2 linked regions of the Callithrix jacchus genome follow. The protein of the gene in region 2 binds, or shares a complex with, the protein of the main gene of each other region. Links are inferred from orthologs where the notes say so. Each region holds a gene or a part of one and is shown on either strand. Other genes may lie near its edges. The genes, in order: WTAP and ZC3H13.

Region 1 (3,821 bases), on a different chromosome or scaffold from region 2:
TCCAACTTTTAGTGATAAAAAACTACTGTACTGGGCAAACTTGGCAGTCATAAACCCACATCTATTCTAACAAGTCTGAATGGTGCATTAAGTACAGTAACAGCATGAGTAAGAATGCCCTTACACAGCACAGATTCTAAACAGACACAGATTTATACAGACGTCATTGTGTTATAGTTTAAGGAAAAATTGCCATTTACAATTTCACATTAACTCATATAAAAATAACTTGACCCTACACAAAATGTCCTTTTAGCAACATTCAAAGTAATTAACTGTTACAATTTCCAAAGTGGCAGAGGTATTGAAGCAAAACAAACAAACAAAAAAAACCCAAAGAGAAACCAAACAAAAAGAACCAAAACGTACACCCAAGAAAAGGCAAATTGTGACAAAAGTATATGCATTAATTTTCTGGACAGTATCCTCTCCCAAATTAAATGACACTGTATAAAAATTTGCTGAAAAAATATTACAAAACTGAACCCTGGACATTTACACTTGAGTCCAAGCCATTCTGAACGTGGCGGGAACCCACAGTTCGGTTACCTTTCCCACTCACTGCTTTCTCCTCTTGAGGGTCATGATTGGAGTCTGTGTCATTTGATTGGTGTGTGAGAGAGTTTTCACTGCCCGTGGGAGAGTCTACACTTTCATACCCCGCACTGAGTTGATTTACGTAACCACTACCTCCTCTGCCAGTTCTTTCCTCTGAGCTGTTGGAGGCCTTATTACCATTCCCTGGAGAAGAAGGAAAGTCATCTTCAGTTGTGTTCCCCTCCCTGTGAAATCCAGACCCAGACGTCCTCTGGCGGGAGGAGCTACCATTACTTGGTCCGTTTGTCAGACGACTGCAGTCTTTACTTGTGGCCTCTGACTGTTCTACAGGTTCAGAAGCTGTAGTCCTGCTGGTACTTGGGGCAGAGGCCTGAGACTGCTGCTGGTACTGAGCCAACTGCTGGCGTGTCTCCTTCAGTTGCTGCTGTAGAACTAGAATGGTACTCTGCATACCCTCTACTTCTTCATCAAGCTGGATGATGAAATCATTCAGTTCTGTGCAAAGGAGAGTCAAATCAACTTTAATATCTCTTATAACACTGAAAAATGTTTCTTCAGTGCCTGCCACAAAGCAAGGCAGTCAATAAAATGCTTGCTAAGTAAACAAACACAATACTAAAAGCACACTACATTTATAAATTTTGCTTGGAATCTTAAAGTATGTTTACTTTGGGGGAAGTCAGATACTTAATATACAGTTGGCCATCCACATTCACAGGTCCTGCATCTGTGAAATCAACCAACTGTAGAAGGAAAATATTTGAGGAAAAAACTGGGTCTGTACTGAACATGTACAGCTTTTTTTTCTTGTCATTATCACCCAAACAATATAGTAGAATAACTACTTACATAGCAGTGACACTGTATTAGGTACTGTTAAGTAATCTAGAGATGGCTTAAATGGCTTAAACAGGTTTCTTTTCGTGTTTTTCTTTCTTGAGATGGAGTTTCGCTTTTGTTACCCAGGCTGGAGTGCAATGGCGCATTCTCGGCTCACTGCAACCTCCGCCTCCTAGGTTCAGGCAATTCTCCTGCCTCAGTCTCCCGAGTAGCTGGGATTACAGGCATGCGCCACCATGCCCAGCTAATTTTTTGTATTTTTAGTAGAGATGAGGTTTCACCATTGAGGTTAACCAGGATGGTCTCAATCTTTTGACCTGGTGATCCACCCGCCTCAGCTTCCCAAAGTGCTGGGATTACAGGCGTGAGCCACCGCGCCCGGCCCTCGTGTTTTTAATTTTTTTTTTTTTTTGAGACGGGAGCCTCACTCTGTCACTCAGGCTAGAGAGCAGTGGCACAGTCTTGGCTCACTGCAACTTTCGCCTCCTAGGTACAAGTGATTCTCCTGCCTCAGCCTCCGAAGTAGCTGGGACTACAGATGTTTGCCACCACACCTGGCTAATTTTTTTGTTATTTTTAGTAGAGATGGGGTTTCACCATGTTGGCCATGGTTTGAGAAGGCAAGTCTCAAACTTCTAACCTTGTGATCTACCCGTCTTAGCTGGGATTACAGGCATGAGCCACCACGTCCAGCCCAATGTACATAGGTTTAAATGTAAATATGACATGGTTTTATATGAGGGGCTTATCTGTTGGAGGTCTTGACACCGATCCACCATGGATACCGAGGGACGACTTTATTAAGCAACCAAGTTAAAATGGTTTTGATCCATTTTGCCATACACCTGATTATAGCCCCTAAAGTTTGATTTACATTTACCTATGGGCCAACTATGGCCAGTCCCCTTATTGCTGACCCTCCTAGCCAGTGTCTTAGTTCCATAGCAGGTCTGGCTCTTAAGGACAGTGTGGTCTGCTATTAATACTCCAAAGAGGCCCATGTTCTCAACTAAGGACTGTTATACATATAAGGACAAGTCACAGGAAATAATTCCTGATGATTTTGAAATAATAAGTAGTTTAGAAGAAATTACTTGACTGCTAATCATCCTTGCAATTAACCATCAGAGACACTAATTTTCAATTTAAAATTTCAAAGATTTAGATATTTTCCTTATTAATAATGCACCTTACAAAGAGGAGAAACAGGACAGATGCGCTACACTTGAACTAAAAAGGATGGAGGCTGACAAGTTTTGTTTATCTCAGTAAATTTAAAGAGTAAATCACTTATTCACTAACAAAACCATCACAGGTGCAATCAACTATATTACTTTCAGATTGCTGAAAACTTGCCGAATTTTTCTAAGATTTACACTTAACTAGAAATGGTTAAAGATATTTTTCCCTTTCAAACACCAAATACAAATTTGCCCATCTTGTTAAGTAATATAACAACCTTACCAAATCCTACCCCCACTAAAAACAAAAACATAAAAAGTTTTGAACGATAAAGAATGAGGAGGTTGGGGAAAAACACATTAAAATTATGTGGCTTTGTCTGCTGACTCAACTAAAAATGTTTCATTCACAATAATATACAATCATAGGCAGAGGTTAACAATGTACAGAATCTAACCTGTAATGTTCATGACTGGCAGTTTTAAAGCCAGTGCAAGGTTAAGAGAACTTTTCAAAGAAACCCCTTACCATCCTGACTGCTTTTAAGCTCCTCACTATATTTCTTCTGTAAAGCCAACTCTGCTTCAAGTTGTGCAATACGTCCCTGGGACAGCTGCCTTCCAAGCTCTTGATTCTCCTGGATAAGCATTCGACACTTCGCCATTAACTTTTTCCCTGTTTGGCTGCAAAGGAAAGAGCCATCTATCACAAAATGAAGACAAAACTCTCTATAACCTTCTTTGCTTACAATTATTACAGTGATAGATGTAACACATAACGTATCACAGCAGATGCTTCCCCATAATTACCATCTTCTTTTCTGGGACACATCCATCTTCTGCATTTCAGTATTTTGCCAATACAGCAGCAAAAATAAACACTAAACAAAAAGGGTCCAAACAGCTACACCTTGTTTCTCTTATATCAATAATTCTAAAACCCACCTATTTTCATCTCAAATTATCACTTGAAATGGAAACAGAGCCAGTTAATTAACATATGCCTTGGCTACACCAATATTATTATACTGAAGTATCTAGTGCTTTATCAAAAGTTCTTGAAAAGGTACATGCAACATCAATCACAAATGCTTCTCTATAATCTAATCTATGGAAATCAGTATCCACAAATAAAAATGAATGAGAGTATATTTATTCTTGCTAGAAAAACATTTAATAAAGATTTTCCTTAATAGGAAGTCCTCCAGTGTGGGCAACATAGTGAGACCCCAATGCTACAAA
Region 2 (4,069 bases):
TACTGTTATTTCCTTGGAAAAAATACAAAGCGAATAGTGTGGGTGGCATATTTTTCATTTGATTGCTTTAAATTGAGATTGCATGTTTTTATCAGTTTGGTTTCCTAATCTTTTACACATGTTAAAGGAAGAATGCCATTAAAATTTATAATATGCTTTATTCTTCAATAGTATTAATGAATATTGGTGTTAATAATGAAAGTTTAAAATATTCTGTTTCTGTTAAATGTTTTTTATTTGTGAAAAGCTTCTTTCAACAAGCAAACATTACAAAAATGTATTTAAATTGAAACTTAAGGAAAAAAATTTCTTTGAGTGTTGTCGATATTTATGGAAGTATTTATGAGAATGTACAAAGTTGGAAGAAAGGGAAATAAAAGCGATTATATATAAGCATTTGAGAAGAATAAAGACATTGAGAAATAAGAAATTAGATTTGGAAGAAATCTGTTAATGAGATCTGGTAAACCCAAGATGAAAACGTTTTAGACTTTTTAAAGTTAAGAAACTAGGATGTATTTGGGGTGGTGGGTGGGTACAGGCAGTACAGATGGAGTATCCCTGATCCGAAACTTTCTGAGCGTCGACATGACCCTCAAAGGACCATGCTCTTTGAAGCACTTAGATTTTGGATTCTCAGATAGGGACACTCAACTGGATACGTAAATGTAATGCAAATATTCCAGAATCCAACAAAATTTCAAAATCGGAAACATTCCTGTTTCTGATCCAAAGCATTGCAGTTAAGGAGTACTCAACCTGTATGATAAAAAAAAGAGCTGGTGGGATTCTTTGCTTAGCAAGTTTAGAGTAATGAAAGTTTAGAGTAAGGAGTACTCAACCTGTATGACAAAAAAAGAGCTGGTGGGATTCTTTGCTTAGCAAGTTTAGAGTAATGAAAGTTTAGAGTAAGGAGTACTCAACCTGTATGACAAAAAAAGAGCTGGTGGGATTCTTTGCTTAGCAAGTTTAGAGTAATGATCCAATGGATAACTTCACTAGCTTTTTACCTGGGGGGCAATTAGGAAAACAGAAATCTTTGACTATATAACATTGCTAAAGAAAAGGTAACTTCATTAAAGAAAAACACTCAGATTTAGGGCCGGGGGTGGTGGGGGTGGGAATTAAATTTTTCGAAAGAGGAGAATGAGTTTATCTCCAAACATTAAAATGGAAACAAATACAAGGAATAGGAGACTATTTAAACACATCTGAACTGTATGATCAAGTTTTCCTCACTTAAAGTCTGGCTCAAGGTTATTTTTGACAGAATTACTACAGTCATTCTCCTTTGCCCGCCCCCCCCATTTCAATATGTGCTTTTCTTTGTTTTTTATTTTGTACCATTCCCTGGTCCATCCTTCAGGACAATAACTTTCCAAAAAATGCTAATGTAACTTTAAGTCACAATAATATAGTTACACATTTTAGTATAAGGGGGTAGTAGTTCTTCAGTATACTGCATGATTAGCTGTCTTCTAAAGGATTTATTCAATTCTCGAGCTCACTTTTTATGGGACATTAACAGATTGGTAAGGATCATAGAACGTTTGGCTTACAGAAGGAAAAACCATGTGAGGAAGGAAGTCATGGCACTTGTCTTTGCAGAACCAAAGGGTTGTCAAGTAAAAGTCAGATCGACTTACAGCGTAGCTCCGTAGAAGAGCCTTTATTTCAGCACATGGAAGAAATACTGCCATTCAACAGTGGAATGTGCAGTGTGTTTTTTGTTTGTTTTGAAATTGGAAATGATGAACTAGAAACTGGTTGATTACCTGTCAGAAATTGTTGAGAGGATTCCTACATTAAGCCAGAGGTCAGACTAGGTGCCCTCTAAAAGTTTATTTTCAAAGAGTCATTGAGCCCAAATACATTTTCTGATTTTGCTTTGAAATCCAATAAAGCTAATTTAATATCCAAAATTAAATACTCTTATAGCTTTGATATTTTGGGTAGAGGTTAACCTGCCCATCTTTCCTACTGTCAACTAATCATGTACATCTTTTTAAAAAAATGTGTTTTTGTTTCTTAAATAGGGCACAGTAAAACAAGCATACACGAATGCTCCAGTGGTAGACAATGAGTTATTACGACTGAGTCTTCGGGTATTTAAGCGGAAGACTACTTGCCATGCCCCAGGACATGAAAAGACTGAAGATAACAAACTCTCACAGTCCAGTATCCAGCAGGAACTGTGTGTGTCTTAAGACTGAAGCTCAGTATGGTATTTCTGTTACTGTCTTCCGTCGGCAAAGTTATTTGGTTCGACAAGCATCATTAGTGACACAGGCAGAAAAGATTTATCAGCCGCGCTAAAAGAGTGAAGAATTTTGATCTTTAGAGACACTGGTTTTGGCTAACTTGAGATTTTACATTAATTTTTACATAGTCCTTGACACTCATGCAAAATAATGTGAAAACATCTAGATTTAATAGTTTATTCTGCGCCTTTTGTTAAAACTGAAGATTTTGGAAAACGGTTGTCACTGCTCTTCCAGCCTACGAATATTTTTGTGAAATTGAACCGGTGATTTATGCTGGATCATCCATACAGAAGCAACAATTTTATTCAAAAACAATGTGTTCATCAAAGGAGTTGCTCACATGGTGCAACACCGCGCTGTGCAGACCGTGGGAAAGGGAATGCTGGTACAGCTAGCCTGGTGTGTTTCTAGGGGAATCTCTAGCAGAAAGGAGCCAAAATAGTTTTTTCCCTTTGAAAGTCTTTTAAAAATTATTTCATGGGTCTTTTTTTTTAAAAACATTAATATGTGTGCATTGTTACAATGTATGTTAGATGTCTTTTGACTCTAAATGCTTTTTTTGTTGTCAGAGAGTGTGTACTATTTTTATTTTTAATAAACGTAACTTCCCTTTCCTTGTTTTAGATTTTACTTTGCTCTTCATTAATCTTGTTCCTGATGTTCTCAAACATTAGTGACCAACATTACAGTTTCATACTTCAGATGTTTTACTGCTTGTGTCCTTATTGTTGGATTACTTTAAACAGAGTTGATGTACTTCAAATATAGCTCATTAATACTTAAGGCATCTTGTTAGAATGTGGCTTTTGAAGAAAAAAAAATACTCAAAGCAAACCGAGAGTTAAGAAATCTAACGTAACCTGAGGTTTAATAGTCTACTATCATATTTGTTAGAGCTATAATTTTTGATTATATTAAACTGCCTCCAGCTGTACTATGTAAAGCAGATTTACTTTTAAAAATTACAGTGTGTAATTTGTTCTGTATGTATATGTTTAACTCATGAAGTGGACTCTTAGAAGGATTTGAAATGGACTCTGGCCACAGAAATTGTGGGCAGACAGTAGTAGTGATAATAATAAAAGAAGCCAATCAAAATTCAAATTTATCATGCCCTCTCACAGGTTTTTGTTATAATTGTAAGCCTACATTATTTGTGTTAGCAGTTTTGTCTCTATAGGTAACATAATGACAGTGGTGTAAAGTTTCTGTATGTTATGCAGTCAATTTATACAAGATACTTACCCACCAAGGAAAAGGGTCTCATCTTCAAATGACTTTGAAAGCATGTATACTTGTAAACAGAGCAGGAGAAAAAATTAATCAGAATTTCTTTATGTCCTTTTCCTTTACTGAGTGTTTTGAATAAAGAAAAAAGAAAAAAAAATGACCTCGGAGAATGAATACACTTTAGGAAGCCACTCCCTGATTTTAGTGGATAATATTGTTCTCTGTAGCACAAAGATTTAAAGTCCTAAAATTTCTAATCCTAGTTCTCAGAATTGTGGAATATGACAAAAATAATGGTTTTTCCATTTGTCCACTGACTTCGGGGATATTTCACAAGTTATTTATTTATAGAATGAAAACTGTGTAGTTAAGTCATTCAGTGAAACCTGTTGTCTTTCAGTTTGAAATCTTTGTTATGTTGCAAAAGAAAATGTAGAACTGTTCCTTTGGTCTCTCAGTCACAGCGTTCAGAGCTTTATGATTCCAGTGGAAATGTACTGTGAAGTCTCAGTTTCTTCTAATTCAGCCATTCTCAGGATTAGTGATATATACCTATAGAATTTTTCTAAAGCAAA

Evidence for each region.
Region 1: the proteins of ZC3H13 (region 2) and WTAP are in contact, whole or in part, in a cryo-EM structure (PDB 7VF2), measured with the Homo sapiens proteins. The link is inferred for Callithrix jacchus from reciprocal best matches to the Homo sapiens genes ZC3H13 and WTAP. Residues at the interface, in NP_001317494.1 of Homo sapiens: Arg1512, Pro1514, Gly1515, Ala1516, Ala1517, Leu1518, Lys1520, Phe1521; in NP_001257460.1 of Homo sapiens: Asp202, Glu203, Asp206, Phe207, Gln210.

Annotation. Positions count from the first base shown.
Region 1 is NC_133505.1:166,551,830-166,555,650, reverse strand, and holds part of WTAP (pre-mRNA-splicing regulator WTAP), read right to left. Parts: intron 3,264-3,821; coding exon 3,109-3,263; intron 1,054-3,108; coding exon 473-1,053; 3' UTR 1-472. UniProt on the Homo sapiens protein: Associated component of the WMM complex, a complex that mediates N6-methyladenosine (m6A) methylation of RNAs, a modification that plays a role in the efficiency of mRNA splicing and RNA processing.
Region 2 is NC_133506.1:165,159,893-165,163,961, reverse strand, and holds the end of ZC3H13 (zinc finger CCCH domain-containing protein 13), read left to right. Parts: intron 1-2,036; coding exon 2,037-2,207; 3' UTR 2,208-3,372; downstream 3,373-4,069. UniProt on the Homo sapiens protein: Associated component of the WMM complex, a complex that mediates N6-methyladenosine (m6A) methylation of RNAs, a modification that plays a role in the efficiency of mRNA splicing and RNA processing.